Linked DNA regions of Caenorhabditis elegans. The protein of the gene in region 3 interacts with the protein of the main gene of each other region in a pairwise test. Each region holds a gene or a part of one and is shown on either strand. Other genes may lie near its edges. The genes, in order: clic-1, grl-4, gopc-1 and snb-6.

Evidence for each region.
Region 1: the proteins of gopc-1 (region 3) and clic-1 interact in a two-hybrid assay, tested with the Caenorhabditis elegans proteins (one large-scale study listed by BioGRID).
Region 2: the proteins of gopc-1 (region 3) and grl-4 interact in a two-hybrid assay, tested with the Caenorhabditis elegans proteins (one large-scale study listed by BioGRID).
Region 4: the proteins of gopc-1 (region 3) and snb-6 interact in a two-hybrid assay, tested with the Caenorhabditis elegans proteins (one large-scale study listed by BioGRID).

What each region holds. Positions count from the first base shown.
Region 1 is NC_003283.11:7,732,234-7,737,888, forward strand, and holds clic-1 (Clathrin light chain), read right to left. Parts: upstream 2,679-5,655; 5' UTR 2,653-2,678; coding exon 2,559-2,652; intron 2,485-2,558; coding exon 2,426-2,484; intron 2,378-2,425; coding exon 2,013-2,377; intron 1,866-2,012; coding exon 1,703-1,865; 3' UTR 1,391-1,702; downstream 1-1,390. Other genes in the region: T05B11.7 (uncharacterized protein), read right to left, coding at 1-154, 478-570, 1,053-1,262; srr-10 (Serpentine Receptor, class R), read left to right, coding at 3,386-3,416, 3,462-3,631, 3,685-3,965, 4,039-4,356, 4,434-4,791.
Region 2 is NC_003282.8:7,308,239-7,313,377, forward strand, and holds grl-4 (Ground-like domain-containing protein), read right to left. Parts: upstream 2,523-5,139; 5' UTR 2,521-2,522; coding exon 2,140-2,520; intron 2,086-2,139; coding exon 2,014-2,085; intron 1,967-2,013; coding exon 1,787-1,966; 3' UTR 1,600-1,786; downstream 1-1,599. Other genes in the region: npr-27 (G-protein coupled receptors family 1 profile domain-containing protein), read left to right, coding at 1-112; F42C5.6 (DUF2650 domain-containing protein), read right to left, coding at 248-442, 490-630, 679-819; rps-8 (Small ribosomal subunit protein eS8), read right to left, coding at 4,806-4,915, 4,962-5,139.
Region 3 is NC_003279.8:14,184,168-14,191,800, reverse strand, and holds gopc-1 (Golgi-associated PDZ and coiled-coil motif-containing protein), read left to right. Parts: upstream 1-2,833; 5' UTR 2,834-2,905; coding exon 2,906-3,004; intron 3,005-3,507; coding exon 3,508-3,606; intron 3,607-3,670; coding exon 3,671-3,781; intron 3,782-3,827; coding exon 3,828-4,148; intron 4,149-4,208; coding exon 4,209-4,342; intron 4,343-4,400; coding exon 4,401-4,539; intron 4,540-4,951; coding exon 4,952-5,116; intron 5,117-5,164; coding exon 5,165-5,265; intron 5,266-5,864; coding exon 5,865-5,940; 3' UTR 5,941-6,173; downstream 6,174-7,633. Other genes in the region: ZK849.1 (PDZ domain-containing protein), read left to right, coding at 6,206-6,283, 6,777-6,968, 7,071-7,232.
Region 4 is NC_003280.10:8,857,050-8,862,072, forward strand, and holds snb-6 (V-SNARE coiled-coil homology domain-containing protein), read right to left. Parts: upstream 2,648-5,023; 5' UTR 2,571-2,647; coding exon 2,490-2,570; intron 2,449-2,489; coding exon 2,370-2,448; intron 2,293-2,369; coding exon 2,246-2,292; intron 2,201-2,245; coding exon 2,099-2,200; 3' UTR 2,017-2,098; downstream 1-2,016. Other genes in the region: npr-20 (Thyrotropin-releasing hormone receptor), read right to left, coding at 3,864-3,981, 4,316-4,473.

The DNA.
Region 1 (5,655 bases), on a different chromosome or scaffold from region 3:
CAGTGGTTACTGTAGCTTTGCGCTTTCCATCGTAATTTTGTTGTCGTTCGGAATCAAGTTCCAATCGAAGAAGTTCATTATTTTTCCTTTGAAGTTCCAGTTCAACTTCTTGTGCGGCGTTTTGAGTTTTGAGTTTTTCTAGGTTGAAGGTTATCTGAAAGTTGGAATAGTTATGCAATTGGTAAAGTATTTCAGGTAATTTTAATGATGCATGTTCTCTTTTACACTGGTCTTAAAATGATCCATGAAATATGGCAAAAATTGCAGTGAAAATTCGCCAGCTACCGTACCCTTGAGTTTCATTGTGCGTGTATCCGTTTTTTTCTAATATTTTTGATTTATAACCTTTTTTAATATTAACAATTATTAGAAACATGATACATATCAGCCAACCCATTAAAAATAAAACATACCGTACTCACGGGTACGGTAGCTGGAAATATATTTGACTCGTAGCGGGACCGAGAATTTAAATACCTCTTTGCATTTGATCCTAAGTTCCCCAACAGTTTCCAGCTCCGAATCAGTTATTTTCTCCTCCCGTTCATTTCGCTTTGAATCATTCCCGGTCTGTGGAAATTTCGGATGTATTATTGCGTGGCGAAATTTGCGATTTTTAAGACAAAAATACGATGTCCGGTCTCGACGCGACCTAATTTATTCGAATGAAAATTGAGAGTGCGCCTTTAAGAAGTACAGTAGTCTCCAGTTTCGCCTTTCTCTTTTGCACAAAAAATTTCCTCTTTCTTTTCTACATTTTGTTTTTTTTTCTCAATTATTTAGTTTCACAAAAATATTTTTTAATGAAAGTTTTCTAAAGAAAATATCAAATAAACTTTCAAAACACCTTTTCGCGGATACTACTGTACTTATTAAAGGCGCACATTATTTTTCATTTGAATATATTCGGTCGTGTCTAGACCATATTTGAGCCATAAATCGCAAATTTTCGCATCTGGATAATAATCAAATAGTATTTTATTCTTTTCCTTTTTTCAAAAACATCTGATATTGTCATGTGAATAATATTAACATAAAAGTTTCTCACTTACTTTCAAAAATTCAATTTCATTTTTCATAATTTCTTCAGTCTTTTCCATTTCAATAAACAGCTCACTCTTTCTCTCACTTTCATCTGCCAGTTTCACACATTCTATACGACAGGCTTCAATTTGTTGCTCAAAAAGTTCAATAACTTCTTGCTGCCGTTGCACAACTTCCATAAGTTCTTCGAACGTGGGATTGCCATCTCCAAAACTCATCTGAAACTGCCAGATGTTGGCTGCGTTGGGCTAAAGATTTCAGAAAAACAAAAGAGCATGCCACAACACAACACAACACCTAGCAAGAATCAGAAGCGAACGGATACGCTATTAAGAAAGACGAACATGGGGCGGTAAAACAGTTCATCTTCTTTTTTTACTTATCACAAGAAAGGGATTATCGGAAATCGGAGCTCAAATGGATTGATTAGAACAGGGGATTGAATTGAAAAAAATTTGAAGGGCGACACAAAATGATGGTGGTGGCTGGAGGGAGGGAAAGTGAATGACAACCAAATCGGGAAACGTAAACTTGACTACTTTTGCTCATAAATAATAAATACATTATTTAACAGTGAAAAGAATTGAAGCGAATATGCGAAGGAAAAATAACGGCGAGAAAAATATAAGTGTTTGCGTTAAATATTCAAGATACTTGTTTATTTTCCAGCATGTTTCAGACCAGCAAGCAGGGTTTTCAGACGACTCAGATCCTTTCCACTCTTCGATTTTTGTTGATCAACGAGCTTGTTCACTGTTTCCCATTGAGCATCTCCATCTTGTTGCTTGGCGAAAAGTTCTTGATTGGATTTCTCGTTTTTCCTGCAATTTTTAAAATGAAAATTGGGAAAAGTATAATTTTGAGCAATTTCTAATAATTTAGCTATTTTTGTTCAAAATGATTGAATTCAATATTTCATGCAAATGGTTTTACGTGTTTAAGAATCTAATCGAATTTCGAAAACTTACAGATTTTCGTCATGTGACAATTGAAGGGTCTTCTCGCGTTGTTTATACCACTCTTCAAGCTCCTTCTTGGCATTTGCACGAAGTTCAATCTTTTTCTTTTCTTCAGCTTCATCTTTTTTCGAAAGAAGTTGCTCTTGCTGAGCTTTCCACAGTCGAATTTTTTCAGCCTCAATTCTTGGGACAGTTGAGAGAATTGGTGATGGACCTTTAGAACCTCCGGAAGAAGCAGAATGATTTCCATTCACCATTGGTTCTACGGCAGGAACAACGATTGCTGGTGCGGCAGCATTGTCGTCGACAAGTCCATCCAAATCGACTCCGGAATCAGTTGGATGCACAACCGGTGGTGGCTCGTCACCAGCAATCTTAAAAGCAAAATATTATATTTTTTGTTGAAGAAAGTTGTTAAAAACCTGGAGGTCTCCAAAGTCATCATCAAGAGCTGGAGCTGGAGCATCGGCTTCTGGCGCATCTAGAAAAATCACTTTAAATGTAAAATAAACAAATGAATCATCGATTTCATGAAATTTCATAACAAAATCTTACCTGGATTAGCTGCTGCAGCTGCTGGTGGTGCCCCATCAAAATCAGCAAATAAATTCTGTTCACGAGCCAAAAAATCCGCCACTGGATCCGACATTTTGTAGTTTTTTTGTGTTTTATACCCTGGAAATTCAAAATTTAAATGTTTTTGGAAAAAATCAATAATTAGCAGATAAAACAAGTGATTTATGAGACAGAAAAGCTTTAGAAAACACGAAGATGACAAATCAAACAAGCGGTTAAACTGGAAAATCCGAGAAGGACAGCGTGTTGGGAAGAGCGAAATAGTGGAATGAATCAAGAGGACAGCTGGAGCCGCAACGCGCGCACGCGACGCGACCGGTTGTTGGCGGAAGTTTGAAAATTAAATTTCGCAACAGAGCTTCATTTTTCGCGAAAATTTTCGTGAAAAGGAAATTAATCATAGGGATTTGTAGAGAAACTTCCGTGTTTTAAAATCTCAAATTAAACGATTTCACTACTGCTCAAAAAATGTTACTTCTCTCTTTCAGGAATTTATTGAACATTTAAAACACTGCCAAAGTAGAGTTAGATGAGTGTAATTATATTCAAACTATTTCAAGCCCGTTGAATACCCAAAGCTTTTCACCTATATTGAAAATCAATATTTATTTAATCAATAATAAGTATGTTCCCGCAACATTAAATACCGTATCACAAAATTGAGTGAATGTTATCTACTTTGAAATGACTCACATTCGTAACGAGTCACAAAAAAGAAAAGAAATTTGACATCATTTCTGTGGATCTTCTTTGTATAAAGGTTTGAAAAATGAGAACGGAGTTGACTTGATTTTAAAAGTTTTGGAATGTCCACCCTTCCCGTATTTTCTTCCGATGGTGAAGTATACATAAACTTTTCTATAATGATTTGAAAAGTTTCAGATGATATATCGTCAGAACTACTTGGCCCTTTCAGGTATTTGGTGAAGCTTTCATTGCTAGATTGTTCTGCAAAATCTAAACGAATGACTATTTTCACATGCATTTTAGGACTTTTTATGATCGTAGTAACACTCATAAGAATTCCAATTTTAATGGAAACAGTTGGAACTGTAAGTGGAAATTGAGTTTCAAAACAGAAAAACTTACGAGATATTTTCTACAGCCATTATCGTTCGGATGGGGAGAAGGAAATTTTTTCGGATATTCTGCCTTATTTGGATTTGTGTGCTCCCTTTGTGTTTTTGGGTGGACTAAAAATGGACTGGTCCAAAAGTTTTGCGGACGATTGGTACGAGTTCGAATGTTACGACAGGTGGCAAATCCAAAGTTGGATAATTTTCGTATTCTGCATATTCTTGCTCTGTGCTTCTCAATACCTTGGTTTGTAGCAATGATGTCTTGGATAATCTACAATTTCATCAATGGAAAGATATATTATGGAGGGTAAGTTCTAGTCTAGGAAAATCTGGGAATGATAAATGAAATTTCGATTTTTTTAAATGTTTGAATGTTTCAGAGGAGAGCAAAATTTTCTCTCGCGAATTTTCATTCTGGTTACAAACTTCTACATTTGGTACATATCGACAATCTGTCTTGCAATTTACATTTTTATCTCTTCTGCTCTGAACCGCGAAGTTAATTATTTTAATGAAGAGCTGCAAAAAGCAAAAGAAGAGAAAACATTGAAAAACATTGGCGTTTTAGAAAAATTCGATATCCGACAGAATGAAATTCTCGAGATGATATTAGTTACCAATGGCTCACTTTCGAGCCTTGGCGGATTTGCACCATTTTTCTTGTTGTGGAGTCTAATCAATGGTATCTATATCACCTCGTAAGTGTAAAAGTCCCGGTAGCAAAATTTGGCTGATTGTCTAAATTATAATTGAAAATAGTAACTTTAAATTACAGATTCTTCAATTCTAATCCTCTTTTATACTCAATTATTCTTGGATTCAACCTTGCTGCAATAATTTTTTACATATTTTTCGTGCTGATTCCACCATGCACTCTACAAGAACATCTGAAATCTACCAACTGCATTTTGATCAATAATGATGAATTTGAATGCACAAAAGATCCAATTGTATATCAAACTTATCGGATAATGATTGATCGCCTACAGAAAATTGAGACTCGAATTTGCATTATAGCTTCCCTACCAATTACGCAAAACACTTTTGCGGCATGTACATTTATTATTCCAAATTTTGGTTTTCTGTTAATAATCATTAAAAAAGTTATTCTTGCCAATGGTGGGCACGTTTGATTTAAATGATCTCAATTGTTTCTCGCGTGGCATTTTGTGAATTTTGAATAAAGCTGGAAACCTTTTTTTCGTAATAACTTTAAATTTGAGGGAAACCCCATACATTTGATTCTTTAATATGTATATTCTAATTCAAAACTACTAGAAAAAAACGTAATTTGAAAGGAGTAGTGTACAAACATTGTTAAAATCAAAATACTCATACGGAATAAGAAAAAATGAACAAGCCTTATCAGGTAAATGAAATACCTGAAAAATCAAAATTCCCGTATGATTTTTAGTGATAACATTTTGGTTCAAACTTGACTCATTATTTTTGGTCACAGGAAATGTGCACAAAGAGCTTGTATATTGGAGCAGCCTTTGGCTAATATTGGACAAAATATATCATTCCTCAGCAAAAATAAGTACAATTTCGAACACTCTCTCGGGTTGATTTATTAAAATATACAAGTAAGTTGAGAGATGTCATGGAACTACACTTGAAGTTCCAAAATGGTGAGGTAGTAGAACTGGGTACTGTAACAATGTCTTAAAAAAGGATTAAGTTATGGAGAATATTCTTCTAGGAATTTGTTGCTTACAAGATTATTAACGCAAATTCCTGAAATTTAGAATTTCTACATGCCATATTAGTACCAAATTAAAAAAATTTGAACTTAATGTTGAAAATGTCGTTTTCAAGCACCTCCAAACCTGACTTATACATATTAGGATCACATCCGAAGCAAAATATTCCAAGAATATATCACCTGTTAAAGTAGATATGATCCACCTTGAAATGACTCAGATTCAAAAACGGTCACACAAAATGTACCCAGCTCGCACACTGCGTCTGGGTCTCTTTGGTTTGCCCAATGTTTC
Region 2 (5,139 bases), on a different chromosome or scaffold from region 3:
TCTATATGCTCTTCTGAATGTAGATGTCCGCAAGCATATCTACAATCAGCCAAAGAAGAAGAGGAAGTTCACATTAAAATTCAATCCGGTCAATACATCATCGAATTGCTAAAATTTCAGTGATAATAGGTGATCAATTCTGTATTTTTCTGATGATCTCTTAACGGGTACACAAAATGAATCTGTCATTGAATAAATTATTGTAGTTTCTAATTAAATGTTCATAATCTTATGTAGAGAGGACAAATTACAACATAACCATATCATCAGAATCTCTTCTAAAAGTTGTTGAATCTTCTGCAGCTAGTTGACGAACACGATCCGCTGCTGAAGGGGCTCTTCCGGTTGGTTGTTGACTTGAGGAGCACAAAATTCGGCGGATTAGGAAAGTGGATGCAGGAAGAACGAGACAGATTGGAAGAACAATTATCATTATGACAATCTGAAAATTTAATTTAATCGGAATAATGAGTTTTCAAAATAACACACCCAGACTCTCAGATGAAAGCAACATTCTTTGTTTAAATGACCACAACATTTGTAAAAAGATAAAAGAGTTTCTTCAGGACATTGATTTCCAACTCGATGTGTTGGACACCAAATTGCATCACTTTCAATCTTCACCACAGTCTGAATGATATCTTTCAAAATTTCAAAACCAAGAACCTTGAAGCTCACAGTAGTCCCTATTGATCCCTCTGTTTGAGTCTCTTCTGAATTTTGTGCCAAAAGTAATGAAAAGTTGTAGAATGCAATTAAAAACTGAATTAAACTAGTAAAACACGAATTTAAAAACGTCTTTCGATGAGAAAAGAGCATCAAGATGGCGATCGATAGAACATTTCTATGAACAATTGAGAGCACGAGCAGACGGTCTCTTCAATCTAATTTCAGCCAATTTGCAGAGTTATGGCTCTTTTATTTTCTTTTGATGCACTAAAAATTTACATTTTCGCGTTGTGTTGAGCATTTTTTTTTGTTTTTGATAGTTGAAAGGGATCTTTTAAAATTAGGTGCAGGAAATTGGAAATAAAAGTGACTTTGTCAACTATTTGATTATGGTTAGTATCTGTTTTAAAATATCCTCGAAAGATCCACAATTTTTGAAAGTTTAGCAATTTACCAAAACTGTGACTGAAATTTTTAAAAATCAATTATTTTTTAAAGATTTTTCCTATGATATTCGGCAAAAATAGACATTTGTAACTAGAATGTGCCGAAATGATGTGAGAAGAGTGGTGTTATAAGGTACTGTAGGATTACTGTAGTTTTAGAAAAAAAAGAGTATTTTTATTTTGAAGTGATAGTGAGTGGGGGATCGCGATTAGATGTTGTTGGGGTACTGTGGTAGTACTGTAAGGTACTGTAGTAGGGTACCGTAGGACAACTGTAGGATCATTAGTTTTTGTATTTTCTAAGCCACGTAACAAAATCCGCTCTGTGACGGTTACTGTCCAGGGGAGATTCGTTTCCCCCGCTCCTTCAGACGACACCGTACCTGTTTGGAAGTATAACTCTACTATGTTCTGTTTTCAAACTTTCCGCTTCTTATTATATTCCAATGTTCACGTTCAAAGTTCTCAAAAACAATGGGATCTTGCACGAGATCGTCGGTTTATTTTGTAGCAAATTAGAAATGAAAAAAACCGGGGGACGAGGGAAGTGATAGACAAAGAGAGAAGTGAAGGTCATATATACAACACAAACCGGAATGCATTCTCGAAGTATATAATAATTACTACACAAATAAAGGAAACGAAGACAAATAAGAATAACCGACAAAGAATTACATCGGTCTGAAAGCGTAGCAAGTGACGTCGTCGTTAGCCACTTGGCAGTAGGTCTCGGTGTATGCTACGTAGGAGAAGTCTCCTCTTGCGCAGATAACATTGAATTTTCCGAACATCTTCTCCTCGACAGCCTTTTGGATGGCACGCTTTGAGATCGATGGGTCACCGTTCATGTTCTGTAAATATAAAGTTAAGAGTTTAAACCAGAAATTTATAATATTACCCTCTCCATAACTCTTCTGAGTTTCTTGCTGTTGCAGGTTGGATCTTCCTCTGGATCCTCAGTGGTGAACAGCTAAACAAAAAACAATTATTCCCAAAGTCTAGATGAAATCTCAAAGAAACGTACCTTTGATCCATGAGTTCTATGTCTAGCCATGAATCTACATGGGCTTCCACATCTGCAGCAACAATCGTTGGCTGGTTGCATGGCATATTGATTGAATACCGGAGCTGGAGCATATGATTGACATGGGGAATATGATGGCATCGGTGGTGGTGGCGGTGGGCACATCGGCGGTGGTGGTGGAGGTGGTGGTGGAGGACACATCGGTGGTGGAGGACAGAATTGAGGTGGGCAGATTGGAGGTGGAGGGCACGGAAGAGGTGGAGGTGCACACATTGGTGGTGGAGGTGGAGGACATGGTGGTGGTCCCATTGAACAACATCCTCCGAATGTTGAAGATGCTATAGGGATGATTGAAAAGAGAATTGAAATGGGCAGAAGCATCTGGAAAATAAAAACTTTTGATTAAAAAAAAGAAAATTTTCCGAATTGAGGGATTTTGGATTTAAATATTACCCAGACGCGAAGCTTTGCGCCGAAATTATAGTACCCGGTCTCGGATGCTGTAATTTCAAATTTTCTGCGAAGTTTTCTGAAAAAAAGGTGTGTTTTAATTTTGTAATTCGAAAACAACAATACAAACGCGTACATAAATTATACCAAATATTGATAAAAGCTACGAAAATTCCACTGATATGAAAGTTTGAATTTACGGTACTCTCTAAAGGCGCACACACACACTTTTGCATTTCATAAAAATGTGTCGTGCCGAGACCTTCGCGTCTAGGTAATAAGATCACTTGGTTCCAGAAAACAAGTGGTTTGAAAAATAAAATGAAAAAGGGTTTGTGATCGGCATCTGTCCTCATCTCATCAATAAGATTTTGAATTGAAACAAAGAAAAGAAGATGGCATTTTCTTTTGATCATCATCAATACCTTATATACCTTTTTGCCATTTTGACCCTGACATCTTTTGGCACCGCCTCCATTACCTCATTGCTGTCGAGAATTTGACCCTCTAGAACTGGTTTCACACAGCTTCTCCCTCCTTTTTTGAATTGGATGATGAGTAATCGTGTTACGTCACCTATTAATTATAGGAGACGAGTAGGTGAATCCGATTGCTTTTTCTTTTTCTTTTACGATTTCTGTTGAAGTTAAACTTTTTAATTTTCAGACAATTGAAATTTACTGGAAATTGAGAATCTGAAATGATTTGGAAAATGCTAATCACAAGTGAACTTTCATTGTTCACATTCAAGGTTATCTGACACCTTTGGTAAATTTTGTCGCACATCATTACTTTATTCATTTTCCTATTGAAATTGATGCATACATAAGATCTGGAAACTGGTTGTGGTATGAGTAATCCTTGGAAGCATCTTTACTTTTTATTACCGTATTTCCTCTATTAGTTAGGCACCTCCATTAGTTTTGCATCTAAAATCACTAATCGAAAATTAGTTTTGCATCCTCTATCAGATTCGCACCTCTAATAGTTTTGCTCCCATTCATTTGTTCCCTATTTTTAGGAATTCAAAATTTGCATTACAAAATCGTTCTAAAAATTAGGAAAACTTTTACAGACTTGGTATAATAAGTCAAAATTGGCAAAATATGAGTACAACTCGGACAATGTTTGCGTATGAGTCGTAAAATTCGTCCATTTTGGTTCATAAGTTGTTATTGAAATTGATGATATTATGCCATAATTTAATGGAAAACATGAGAAAAAACCTGTTCAAAAATTAGTTTTGCTCCTCCATTAGTTTTGCATCAAATTAGGTGTCCGAAAATTAGTGTTGCATGCCTTACTTATAGAGGAAATACGGTATCTTATAATTTTTAGAGGTGATTCAAAAAAAACTAAAACGAAAATCTAGAAAACAATACGTATTTTTGGTTAATTTTATGTTGAAAAAATTACAATTTTTAGTCATATATGATTTTTTGGAAAGTTATGACGTCATAACTTTCCAAAAATCGAACTCTTTTGATTTTTCTTCATTTTTTTTGAAATCTAGGAACCGAATTTTGAAATTTAACATTTGATTTTCATGGAACAAACGAAGAATCCTCGGTCTTGAAACGAAACAAACTTTTTTGAAAATTTGCGTGCGCCTTTAAAAAGTACAGTAAGATCTTAATCTCATTTTTCCACGTCTATCCTGATCTGCTTTTATTTCCTCCATTATTTCAACGAAGTCAGAATGAGTCGGAATATAAATGAGAAAAGCTTTTTACTTTTAAAAATCATATTTTGGCATCCACGTTTAGTTTCCTTCTCGACATTGCCAGATTCGAATTAACAAGACTTTAAAACACCACGAACTTTTCAAACTGCTTTTGTACCTATAACTTAAGGCGCTTCTGAAACTGTGCATTATGAGCTCATACTAATCCAGAACGAAACTCTTCTCGATGTATTAAAAATGTTCATGTCATACTGGCCAGCCCATCTCTGATCACTACTACTTCAGCCTTCCCGAGAACATCTCTATTAAAAAGCAATCCTTTGCAGACCGAACTGAAATTCCTTTAGACCCATGGGCTGTCTGTCAGGAACATCTTTAATAATAGAATCACCATTGTATATCCTTCGCCCAACAATAATGCATAAAATCCCTGCAGTTGTAACCTTATTCCAAATGTGCTATTAACAAATTTCTAGTAACAATTCGTTTATGTTTTATGTAACAAAAACAAGAAAACAACCACAAAAGGCATTTACTTGGCCTTCTTGGCACGAATCTTGCGAAGGTAGAAATCAAGTTCCTTTCCTTCGAGGATGTATCCGTTGGCTTGTCCGACTTGTCCTGGGGAAGAAGAGATGCGAGCTGAAAAATAATGATTAAACTTGAAGAAATTTCTGAATTTTCTTACCGAGAAGACGTCCAGTGTTGAATTGCTCGATGAGGAGTGCATCAACAGCAGCAGTCTTTTGACGCTCGGTGTACTTTTTCATGGTGTGGTGGGATCTCTTCTTGTTGAGGATGGCGTTGTCTTCCTCGGAAAGCTTGGCGTTCTTCTTTCTGGCAAGTGGGAGAGCATAGTGAGCCTC
Region 3 (7,633 bases):
ATTTATAACACTTTCAATTAAAAAAAAAAACATAAATATTCGTTGTAAAATTATTTTTAACAATTTGAACAAAAAAACCATTTTTCGTAACTCAGTGAGGGGGAGGACAACCGCCGAGCGAGCGGGAAATAGATCAAACTATGGATAAGACATCTTGTGTGCATAGGAGCACCTAACAGTTTATGTAGAAGTTTTCTACATTTTTGGTGTTAAAATTTTTTAATCTATGTATCTATGTATGTTAATCTATGTATGAGCTATCAAATGAGCTATCAAAGATGAGCAAAAACTTTTGGACATGATGCATTGAAGGCTGTCCCTGTTTGAAGCTTTTATCTGTTTAGCTTTTTGAAAAACTTTACAAAATACCTTGTTTTAAGACATGGTGCATATATCACTGATGTCTTTTGTTTTATCAGGCAGCTGACAACTAACAAAGTATTTTTTGAAACTTGCAAATTGAGCCGAAATATAAGACATCTAGAAAACTTCAATTATGGTCTTGTTGAAAAAAAAAGAAGAAGATGATCTTCAGCCATCATCACGTTTAGCCGAAACGGAACTTTTGCGTTTCACATTTCCTCTCCCGCTCCCCCCGCCACCGCTGCTTCGACTCCTTAACATAATTTTCGGCGCACCCCGTACACGGAGACAATGTGATTTGGCGAACCTCTCTCTCTTTCTGTGTCTCTAGCCTTTCTCACATGGCTCAAGCCAAGGGGGGGGGCTCATCTTACTTCTTGATCCGCTTTTTCGACTCTGCTCATAAGCTCAGTTTCGAGTGGAGACTATGTTCCAGGATGGTGGTTATTCTCAGAGTGGCTCACCGACATGGCCCGGTTATTCTTATACTCAATTTTTAGAGCTTTTCATTTCAAATGTAAGTTTATTTTTAAGTTTCAAAATTATATTTCAAGCCCGACGGGCTCCAGAATGCTGAATTTTGTTCCAGATATTCTTTGGAATTTAACTAGGCTTGTAGTGAAGTCCCGTAAGCTTGTGGCTCTAATAAAAAGGGACCGTAGAGAAGCCCAGATATTTAAAATCTAAAGGGAAACTGTTTGACCAGAAGATTAGAGCCCAGTTGTCTTAGATTAGCCTAGTAAAAGTCCGGAAGCCCAGAACTCTCAAAATAATTACGAGCACCTGTAGCCCACAAGTGCCTAATTTCTGACTGTCAAGCTTGTCGACCCGTACTGTCAAGGAACTTTGTCCAAGCTCAGCTAGGCCCGTTCAAGCCCACATGACTGTAAACGCATTGGGATTAGAAGCCAGGATAGGATATACCATGATCCAATGCACCATGACCCCACGGAACCAGATAGTGCCTCCATTTACCATAATGTACAAAAAAAATTCAGCCTTCTGATGGTCCCGTCATACTTTTAGGCAAGCTTGGGCTCTCAAATGAGCACAAAATCCCAAAATCCCACTTTGTTTTCAACTCATTAGACGTTGAAAAAATGGAAAAATCAAGCTTCCTCCATTAAAAACCAATTCCAAAAAGGCGACTCCAAATTGAATTAGCTTTGCGCAGAGAGCATGCAGAGGAAGTCGTTCAGATGAATAGTGGTCAATATAAAGGAAGCGGGGATAATAATTATCGGATACTTTTCAACTACTACCGCTTGTTAGTGTTCGGCTAGTAATAGAAGTGCCAAAAAATCGTCGAGTGGAATTATAGCGTGTTAGGTCGTAAGGGGTAGAAACTCAAAGAAGGTGGATTCCTTTTAAAAAAAACCTTAAAATCTTGTTAGATCGGAGTAGCTTCATCTTAGGTTGGAGTAAAAATTCCACATTCTCAGGCCGGACTAGAAACCCCATAGGTCGAACTAGAAGCCTAATAGGTCGGACAAGGACTCTGCGGAGTATAACCCCCTAGTTCGGTAAAGAATAATCTTAGGTCAAAACAGTATCACTTTAGGTCGGAGTAGAATCCGCTTAGGTCAAAGTAAAATCTCGAAATCTTAGATCGGAGTAGAATTCTAAAATCTCAGGTCGGGGTAAAGTTTTTTAGGCCGGGGCAGAGTCTCAAACTTTTAGGTTTAGGGAGAACCCCTTGGGGTTGAAGTAAAATTTCATTAGGTCAAAGTAGGCTCCCTTTAGGCCGGTGTAGATCCTAGAGCTCCTAGATCGGAGTAGATTTCTAAAGTCTTAGGTCGGAGTAGAACCTCAAAAGTTAGATCGGAATAGGACCCTAAAAACATTAGATCGGAGTAGATTTCTAAAATCTTGGGCCGGAGTAAAGTTCTTTTGGATCGGAGCAGAGCGTCCTTGGGTTGAAGTAGAATCTCATTAGGTCAAGGAAGGGCCTAGAGTAGATCCTAGAACTCCTAGATCGGAGTAGATTTCTAAAGTCTTAGGTCGGACTAGAACCCCGTTAAGTCAAAGTAAAACCCTATTAGGTCGGATCAAAACCATTCAGGTCTACTTAGCACCTATAGGTCAGTGTAGAACACCCATAGGTCGGAGTAAAACCCCCAATTTCGTAGTTAAAGTAATTATCGTATACTTTTCAACTGTGCAACAAAGAGGGAACAAAAATGCGAAAAACTTTTGATTTGGTGTGAAAGTATACCCATTGACACACACACACATGAAGCTCCCGGAATTGGGGTCCCTCCTCTCTTTTTCTTCGTCCTCTTCCACTCTCTCTCTCTACCATTCCCACCCCATTTTTTTTCTTAAAAACGAGCGAGGCATCTTCTTATTCCTCACAGAGCCCCCCGACGCCTTTCTCTAGAAAAGACGGGAAGAAAACGACAATTGGATTATCCGGTGTCCCCCGACGGCTCTTTTCCACCCTATTCCAACAAACACACACACACACACACCCAGTTCTCCACACATATCATCATCATCATCATCATCATCATCACCCCGAAACTAGTGTTTTACTAAAAAAATGAGCCATTGTGCGGCTTGCTCTGGCGCCAGGCTTCAGGCCCAGACTGTGCTTAGGGTGGACCCGGAGTCTGAGTATTTTGAGTGTGAAGCTTCTGCGGTGAGTGATTTGGGCTTTCTAGGTTCTAAGCCTAGTCAAGCCCGGCTTTTTTATCCTCTTGGTTTGAGTCTACCAAGCCTAGCTAAACCCGGATCCTTGATCCATCCGTTCTTGGAAACCAATAATTCGAATTAGATTTCCCATTGACTAGCCTAGACTTATGAAGCCTATCATTGTTGAGCTAAACTAGGCCCGGTACCTTGAAACTTCCCGCCTAGTCTGAAACGACAACTGACTGGACCGGGCCCTTTTCAGCTTAGCCTGAATCATATTTATCCAAGTATTTGCCCATTTAGGCCCGAATTTTTGGTCCGATCAGCTTATCTTATTCCTTATTCCAAATCAGGGCTCTTTTCACAACAGTTTGCTCAGCTAGGCCATATAAGCCAGAGCCGTCAAATTTTCTAATGACTAGCCGGGATCCTTGATCCTTTCAACTCAGCCAAACTTTGATCGGAACCCTGCCCTCCCCTTGATTACCCCTAAAACCTCAAAATTTCCAGATGGAAGGTGGCTCAGGATGGACAGAATCATTGGAGAAAGACTTCGACAAAGCATTCGTCTCACTGGATCTCCTGCTAGGAGAAGTCGACTCGGACCAGGTAAGAGCTTAGAACTTCAGGCCACCTGATCAAGCCCAGGTCCACAAAATCCTAACGTATCCAGGTTGAGATCACCTACGAGGGCCGGCAGAAGATGACGTCATTGAGCGCCTGCTTTGCACAAATGATGCACAAGTGTCAGTTCATGATGCACACAATTAGTAAACAGGAGAAGGTGAGTTTAGGCTTGCTGAAAAAAGTTGGATTGTTAATTTTTTCAGGAAATGATAACAATGCGCGCCGAGGTCGTGGAAGCCCGCGCCGCTCGACAGAGCATGGAGAAGGAAGTGGAGCAGTTGATGATCCAAGTTCACTCATTACAATGCCAACTGCATTCCAAGACGGCGCCGCATGAGTCAGACATGATTAAGAAGAAGCTGGAGACCCAGCTGACACAGTTTCGATCAGAGCTTACACAGGGTTTGAGCACGGTTTGTGAGCTGGAAATTGCAAGAAAGGAGTGTGATCGGTCAAAACGGACGATTCAGGCCTTGGAGACTGAGGTCTTCGGGGCCAGGCTGGCGGCAAAGTACCTGGATAAGGTAGGCCATCGGGCTTTAAGGCTTTAAGGCTTCAAGGCTTTACATACCCTAATCTTCCAGGAACTCGCAGGCCGGATACAACAAATCCAGCTCCTGGGACGAAACATGCGCGGCGTGGAGCACGACAGGCTCTGGAACCAGCTGGAAGCCGAAATTCACCTCCACAGGCACAAGACAGTGATCCGGGCTTGCAGGTAGGCGGTCACGTTTCCCATGGCCGCTCCCCACTTGAACAATTTGCCATTCTTGCAGAGGACGGGGTAACACGAAGGGATTAACGGCGCCACTTCGTCACAACTTCAAGAGCCTCCGAAAACGAAATGGAGTGGGAAAGAGCAGGAAAGTGGTGCTCTCGAAACACCCGCACGAAGGGCTCGGCATTTCTATTACGGTAGGTGGGGGGACTTGGATGGTTTTGGGCCAGTAGATCATTGACTAGACTTGTTCCTTTGGGGATCCACGGGATCCTGTAAGATCTGAGAGTTGATCCAGTTCCCGTAAGACCAAATGTGCCATCTGATTATGAGGTACTTTTGCACGTGGTGTCAGGCTGTCCCATTGCGGTTTGATCTACAAAAAATGCGGGAATTTTTCTCCCAGTCAGTTGAAAAGTCTGCGTCTCTTTTCCCGCATTTTTTGTAGATCAATGTAGATCAATCTAAAATGAGACACTCTGACAACCCCTGCTTTTGTAGTTCTGCTGCATAGCTCAAAACTACTCCAGATAGTTTGCGGAGCTCCGGATGGATCCTAGTTCTTCAAGATCTTAAAAAATCCTACTGGATCCTAAAATCCATTTCCAGGGAGGATCCGAACACGCTCTACCCATAGTGATATCTGAAATCCAGCCGGGACAGCCTGCTGACCGATGTGGACAGGTCTTTGTGGGCGACGCGATTCTCTCAGTAAACGGCTACGATCTTCGGACTGTCAAGCATCAGGAGGCAGTGGATATTTTGAGTGGGCAGGTAAGATGCTGCCAGGGGCCCTCCACCTACATCCCCTCCAAATTCCAGGTACAGCAAGGCGACCTAGACCTGGAGCTCGTCTTTGTGTGCCCCGATGAGGATAGTGATGATGATGGGACGGTGACGATCGAGCACAGCGATGGATCTATGTGAGTTATTGGGAATTTTTCGGCGGGAAATTTGAATTTCCAGTTAGTTTTTAGCGGGAAATTTAAATATTCAATCGATTTTCAGCTGGAAATTTTGATTTTCTGTTAATTTTTGGCGGGATTTTCATATTGCCAGTTAATTTTAGGCGGGATTTTTAAATTTCCAATTGATTTTGAGCTAGAAATTCAAGTTATAAGTCAGTTTTAGGGAGGAAATTCAAATTCTCAGTTAACATTTAACTGGAAATTTAATTTTTTAGTTAATTTTTCAACTGGAAAATCAAAATTTTGGTCATTTTTCAATAGAAAATTCAAATTTTTTGTCGTTTTACTATAGGAAATTCAAATTTTTAGTCAATTTGCGACAAAAAATTCTAAATTTTCTGTCTATTTTCGGCAAGAAATTCAATTTTTCAGCCTATTTTTTGGGGGAAATTCAACTTTTTAATGAATTTTTCGGCGGGGAATTCCAATTTTTTGTCGTTTTTCTATAGGAAATTCAACCTTTTAGTTAATTTTTCGACGGGAAATTCAAATTTTCGGCCAAATTTCAACAGAAAATTCGAATTCCCAGTCAAATTTTTAAATTTTTGTTTTAGCTACAACCTCTACAGTATGGAAGAGCCCACGTCAAGCCGATCGTCCAACAATTCTGATGAATCACGCAGCACGTGACCTCCAAAATGTGGAATTTTTTGACGGGTTTTATTTAATTTTTTTTTCAAAAAAAAAACTTTTTTTTGTATATTTTCCCGTGACTTTCCTCCTCCCCCTAATTGCCACGTCATTTCCTCCAACTCATTGGATTTTTTTTTGGCTTTTTCCAACTTTTTGCATAAAAATCTTTTATTGTTTGAGTTTATCGATTTTTCTTCCGCAAAAAAATCAATAAATGACGTGTCAACAAATCAATCGTCTTACTGCTGTCTTCAATACGGCAATGTCCAAGGCGCTGGCTTCCGATGAGAAGGACGACTGGATTACCCATTTGAAGGCAATTTCGAATGTTTTTACGCAGGTAATATGATCTTCCGGTCGGGCGGGAATTTGAAAATTCTGGGAGAAATATTGATTTTTTGGAAAAATGTCAGTTTTCCGGCAAATGTCATTCAAAAAATTATTGATTTTTCGTCGCACTCCAACGACACTCCGATATTCCGCTGACTAAAAGTAGGCGTGGTCAGGCGGGAATTTAAAAATTTCGCTTTGAAAATCAGTAAGAAATCATCGATTTTTGTGAAAATTGTTAGCTATCCGGCTCGAAATATCGAAAAACGGTTTGAATTTTGTTTAGTATAAAGTTTCTTTAAAATCCCGGTCGGGCGGTAGTTTAAAAATTTTAGAAAAAATCGATAATGTATCGACTTTTCGGTATCCCGGTACAAAACTGTGGCGGGAATTTGAAAAGTTTCCAATAGTTACTTCAAAACTCCTTTTTCTCGGTTATTGAAAACTTGGCAATGACGAGAAAAATCGATAATTTATTAATTTATCACAAACTATTTTTCCAGGTTTGCACTTTGTCCGCCAGTGAAGAATCCGCTAAGAAATTGGCAATCAAGGAGCGTGAGGAGTGTCTCCAGGAGCTCGTGGAGCTTCGTGCCATAGCTGAAGCCCATGATGACGTCATCCAGCAGTTCCACTTGTTGCTGGCCGCGAATCATCAGGGAGACGCGACTTCCAGGCAGATTTTCAATGATATGGTGAGGGAATGTTGCCTGCCTATACCTACCTAGGTGCCTACAAGTACTAGGCAGGCAGGCACTTTCGTGCCTACCTGCCTACTTCAACGCTTAATATTTCAGAAACAAGAAGTCGGTGACAATATGGAAAGGATCCAGGAGCACCGTCTTGTGGAGGCTAAGCTCAACGTGGAGAAGCGGCGTAACGAGCGGATGGCGAAGCATATCAATGAGGTGTCCAAGAAGAGTGTCATGCATCTCATGGCAACCAGGTTCTACGCAAGGGTACGGTTCTACCTAGTCGATGCACCATGTGGGGTAGAGGTTCAGGTAGCTCTGGTTACCCAAAAATTGGTGATTTCCACTTTGGCCACATTTTTTGCTAGCCTAAACCTCAGCCAAAGCCTACACCCAAACCTAAGCCTTAATCCAAGCTTAAGCCTGAGCTTAATCCTAGGCATAAGCGTAAGCCTAAGCCTAAGCCTTGGTCTAAGCGTAAGCCTAGATCACAGCCTAAGCTTTAGCATAAGCCTAAACCTAAGCCTAAGCCTAATACTAAGCCTACGCCTAAGCCTAAGCCTAAGCCAAAACCCAAGCCAAAGCTTCAGCCTAAACATTTTGTCGATGCACCATGACATTTCCCCCACTTTTTTTCTAGATTTTTGGCCCCTACGCATCATCATTTT
Region 4 (5,023 bases), on a different chromosome or scaffold from region 3:
AAAAATCCAATTTAAAGAAGCAAACTGCAAAAATTATAGTTGAGTTTGTTCTTGAATTATCTAAAGTTAAAAACTTTAAAGAAAAATAAGTATGATTTCCAAAGATGTTTTTCAATTTAAAAACAGTAAACATTATTTTTGGTCTTTTTGATGGTCAACAAGATTAAGCATTCCTCAATTATCCAAAACAGTTTTTTTTGAAAATAAATGTTGGAACATTGACGAATAAAAGTCATATGACATACTTATTATTTTGAAAATGTATTAACTGGTTGCTTTAATGAATTATCTTTCCCTATCTCCCACTCAACTGAACAGCTTCAGCTCATCGTGTCGTTCATTTTCGCTGTGTATTTTGAATAATAAAATCAACAAAACGATTACGTGACTGCCCGGTATCCTAACTAGTTTATTCTGTTTTATTCAATAACTTACTATTCGTTTTATGACTTGCCGTGCTTATGATGAAATGCCAAAAAATTGCGTCGAGTGAATGAATAGCTATTTGATTTTGGTCATTTACTATTAATACCATTAAGTAGTTTTGTTTTGACCACAATCAAATTTTTCTAATTATGACTGTGACTTCTTGAACAACATTGGAACACCTTCAGTAATTATTTGACTTTTGAAAGTGAACAACCACTTGAAATTAGTCATAATTGGTTCCAGTGACCTAATTATGTTTTATAGCGTGAATACCGAGAAACTAATCCAGAAACGTGTTTTAGAAATAAAATTGAGTTGGCGAATGTTGCAGATTTTTAATAGGAATGAAGTTTTATTTGAATGCAGGAATTACAGTATTTTAAATAATTTTGAAATTTAATTTGAAAGGTTACTCTGACACAAAAACATTATCACAAAAACAATAACACACATTCGATGTGATATATCAAAGAATGATAACACAACGAGAGTAGAGTTATTTCATAAATATAATTTAACGAACGGGAAAAAGGAAATGCAAGGTCATTATGTCTGCGCGTTGAACCAAAGTAGTACTAGGTCATCCCGGGAGGATACGGACGAGCGCCATCTGTTCACAGTGAGTAAGGAGACTATATAAATATGAGAGAGATTACGGCTTCTGTCTACGTCTACCGTTCGGCTTATTAATCCGCATCTTGACGACATGGTCCACGATTTAATTGTGCGATAGCTTTTTGTAAATTCATTTTTTTTGGAGTTTTTATTCCACGTTCTAGATGTTTCAGATAAAAAAGGTTTTCAGTTCTTTCACAGAGCCTAAAATTGTAGTAAATATTATTAGAAAAATACCGCACCACCGAAAAACCGGCAACAGATTTCCCGTAGCCATATAACAAACAAATATGTTTTACAATATTGACACATTCCTTAATTATTTCAAAAACTTTTTAGTCTAATAGTATCTGCACCAAATTTTTAAAAGAATTCAAAGAAATTTATCTTAACTTTCATTCGCTAAATGTTACTGAAAATCGAGGAGATACAGTTTACTTAGAATAGCAGTTTCATAGACAGTAAAGTGGATTCACCAATCATATCGAATAAATTGATAGCTTCTTGATATTCAGTGAACAATGATTTCATAACAGGTATTCAAAGGGTTCAGTAGATGATAAATTGACGATAGTATCAATTGAACAAACAGCGACTATTCAACTAACTGTGACGTGGGAAAAAGAAATAGATTCGATCGAGGTTCCAGCTATTTCTACTTTTTTTTATAGACAATTGATCAGTGATTCAGCAGAATTTGCATTTGAATTCAGGGTTGATGAATGAATGGGTCACACGATGAAATGATGGAAAACATGGAATGTCTTGGGACAAAAAATAAACATCGTTGAGTTGTCAAGTGGATTAATGATTTGGTTGGATCAGAAAGTGATGTTTTTCTGAAAAGGTTCTGGAAAATTACAAGGAAGAAAACAAATTTAGAAGTTAGTATTCACAATAGTGGCAAACAACTTAAAATATTTTGTTCGCAATTTTGGAAAATCTGAAAGAAAACTTTAACAAACAAAAATGTTTTTTTTCTAAATTCAAAACTTTATTCAATACATAGAGGCTGTTAAATCAATAAATCATATTGATATATGAAATTGAACATTCAGAGAAATGCGTATGCGATTCCGGCAAAAGCAGACACACTTGATACGGCGATGATACCATTACGAATAGCATTGGCTTTCCAGCTCATCTCACGCTTGATCTAAAAATTTAAATTAACTTGTTGTTTATTTCAATTTTTAAATACCTTGACAGCACACTTGACGTAAACATCTGAAGCTTCCTCGAGTTTTTCTGAAATTAAATCTTAATTTTTTACTTCTAATAAATTAATTTTTTTGAAACCAAAACTCCCAGTTTATGAAACTTACGAGCTCTTTCAACGAGATCGTCAAGTTTTCCCTGTCTCTCCATAATTTTTTGCACGTTCTCCTTCATGATGATTTTCACCTAAATATAATTGTTCATTTTTCTAATGATAAATGTCAAACCGAATTCAATTCCTGTCTTGTTCTCATAATCTTTTGATCGTCCCAACCAATACGACTCACTGGTAGTTGTTGATGAATCATGAAGTAATTAGCGTCTGCTGTTTCAGCAAATAAAATGTATTGATACTTTTTGAAATTAATTCATTTTTGTTGGAATGATGGCACGTGTGTTTTCTAACCAACAAGATTTTCACGGGGCATTAATTTATGATATAAGAATTGTATATTTTAGAACTCTTTAATTTTTCGAGACCTTTCATGTAGTACAAGTGTTTGAAAAACCCTATAAGTAGAAATACTCTAAAACATCCTTCCTAAACAAACTTTTCCCAATTATCGGTTTACCGGAGAAAGCTGACTTCTTTATTTTCTCCGCCAGTCCCGCATTTTCTTAGATTACTGGCATTTATTTCCGCATTTCACTATGTATTCTATGTTAGAACAACTTGGACAATTTATGAAAAGAAAAGTTCATTTATACTCGAAGGAACCCGTAAAAAATAATTCAACTTCCGGAACAACACTGCAACTTTTTCCTCACGAGGGACGAGGAAAAATGGTTTCTAGGCCATGGCCGAGGAGCCGACAAGTTTCAGCGGCCATTTATCTTGCTTTGTTTTCCGCCTGTGTTCTTTCGTTTTTCACAGCCTTTTGCCGTTTTTTCTTATTAAAACTGATAAATAAATATTTTTTGCAGATGCTAAAACAATTTCCAAGTAAAAAAATTATGTTATCAGTCGGCAAGTAGCGGTGAAAGTGGGCAACGTAATATGATGGATTACGGGAATACAAAACCCAATCGTTTTCCCAAACATGATACATATGCTGCTTAGATGCTGAAAGTACCTGATTTTTATAACGAGACCGCTGAAAAAGTTTTGAGGTTTTCAAAATTCAACTTTTTTGGTGAAAAAGTCGAGATTTTCGCACAAAATGTCGAGTTTTGAAAATCTCAAAACTTTTTCAGCGGTCTCGTTATAAAAATCGGGTAGTTTCAGCCTCTAAGCAGAATATATACCATGTTTCAGAAAAAGTTTGGGTTTTTTATTCCCGTAATCCATCAAATTACATTGCCCACTTTCACCGCTACTTGCCGACTGATAGCATTATTTTTTACTTGGAAATTGTTTTAGCATCTGCAAAAAATATTTATTTATCAGTTTTAATAAGAAAAAACGGGAAAAAGCTGTGAAAAACAAAAGAAAACAGGCGGAAAATAAAGCAAGATAAATGGCCGCTGAAACTTGTCGGCCCCTCGGCCATGGCCTAGAAACCACTTTTCCTCGTCCCTCGTGAGGAAAAAGTTGCAGTGAACAATTGAGCTATAATTCGATGTACATAAACAAGTATTTACAGCAACGATTTTTTTTTAAATCAACGAATCCTGTGCATTCTGATTGGAGCAGGACTTGGACATCGAGAATCTTCTGGTGGAACATCGCTGACAAGCGTCCTGTTTCGGGAGCGAGATATCCTTGAGAACACTCCTTTCCTGAAAAAAATATAGATAGTCCATTTGTTCACTAGTAAGTTTTCCTAAAATAAGTACACAAATATCAAAGTATTAGATTCGAGTTTGCGAACTAATTTTGTACTCTGTGATCTTATGACAAAACGACGCAAAGCACAACGCACACAGCACACGACTGTGAAAATCGTCTCATCCAGAAATAAATTTAAATGCAGAATCTATACTATAGTGATGTACAAAGAGCAAAAGATTGTCTTGAAACCTTATCTAACTGATTTTTAATTCTGTATTTTATTAGTCTCAATACGAAATAAGAATATATGTAGTATTTCTGTGGAATATTTTATAAACTAACCTGCAGTGTATTACATCAGATAGTGCATTCCTAAACCGTTTTGATAAACATGCATATAGAATTGGGTTAATCGCTGAAGATATGAACAAGAATATATAGGACAGTGGTTGGAATATCATTGTCCAATTTGAATTGCAGATGGTACCAGTTTGGAAACTCTGAAAGTACTTAAAGTTCTAAAATTTTAATCGAAATTATTAGTGGTGGTTCAAATTGTTCAAAAATCGTTTGATGTTTTAACATCCACTTCACTTTGATTCCTAATCAAAAAGAAAATTTAATCTCAAATAAATTAGTTGTCAATATTGGTTCTTCAATAAACCAGGATCCCGTTCTAAGTATTTTTATTTTTCTTGAGAATTAATTTTGTTTTTGGTTTCTCTTTCAACCCTAAAGGTCCATTGTGTATTTTTTGCGATATAATCATTGCTATATGTTATTTCTAACCTAGACTATTAGTTAACTAAAAACAAACCAAGGAAATATGCGGTAAACATGTCGAGAGCAGAACAAAATCTACACGTGTGTAAATCACTTCCTTCTATTTTAAATTTTTTTTAAACAACTATTTTACCCTTACAAGGGAAGTCTTTGAGGGGGTCCGTAGATTTGGAGTTCTCATGCTGAAATTCCTACAGAAGAGTGTTAGTTATGATCTCTCCAAAAAATTTAGCTGCCCCGGTCAAGTTTCAGCAAAGTTATGACGTT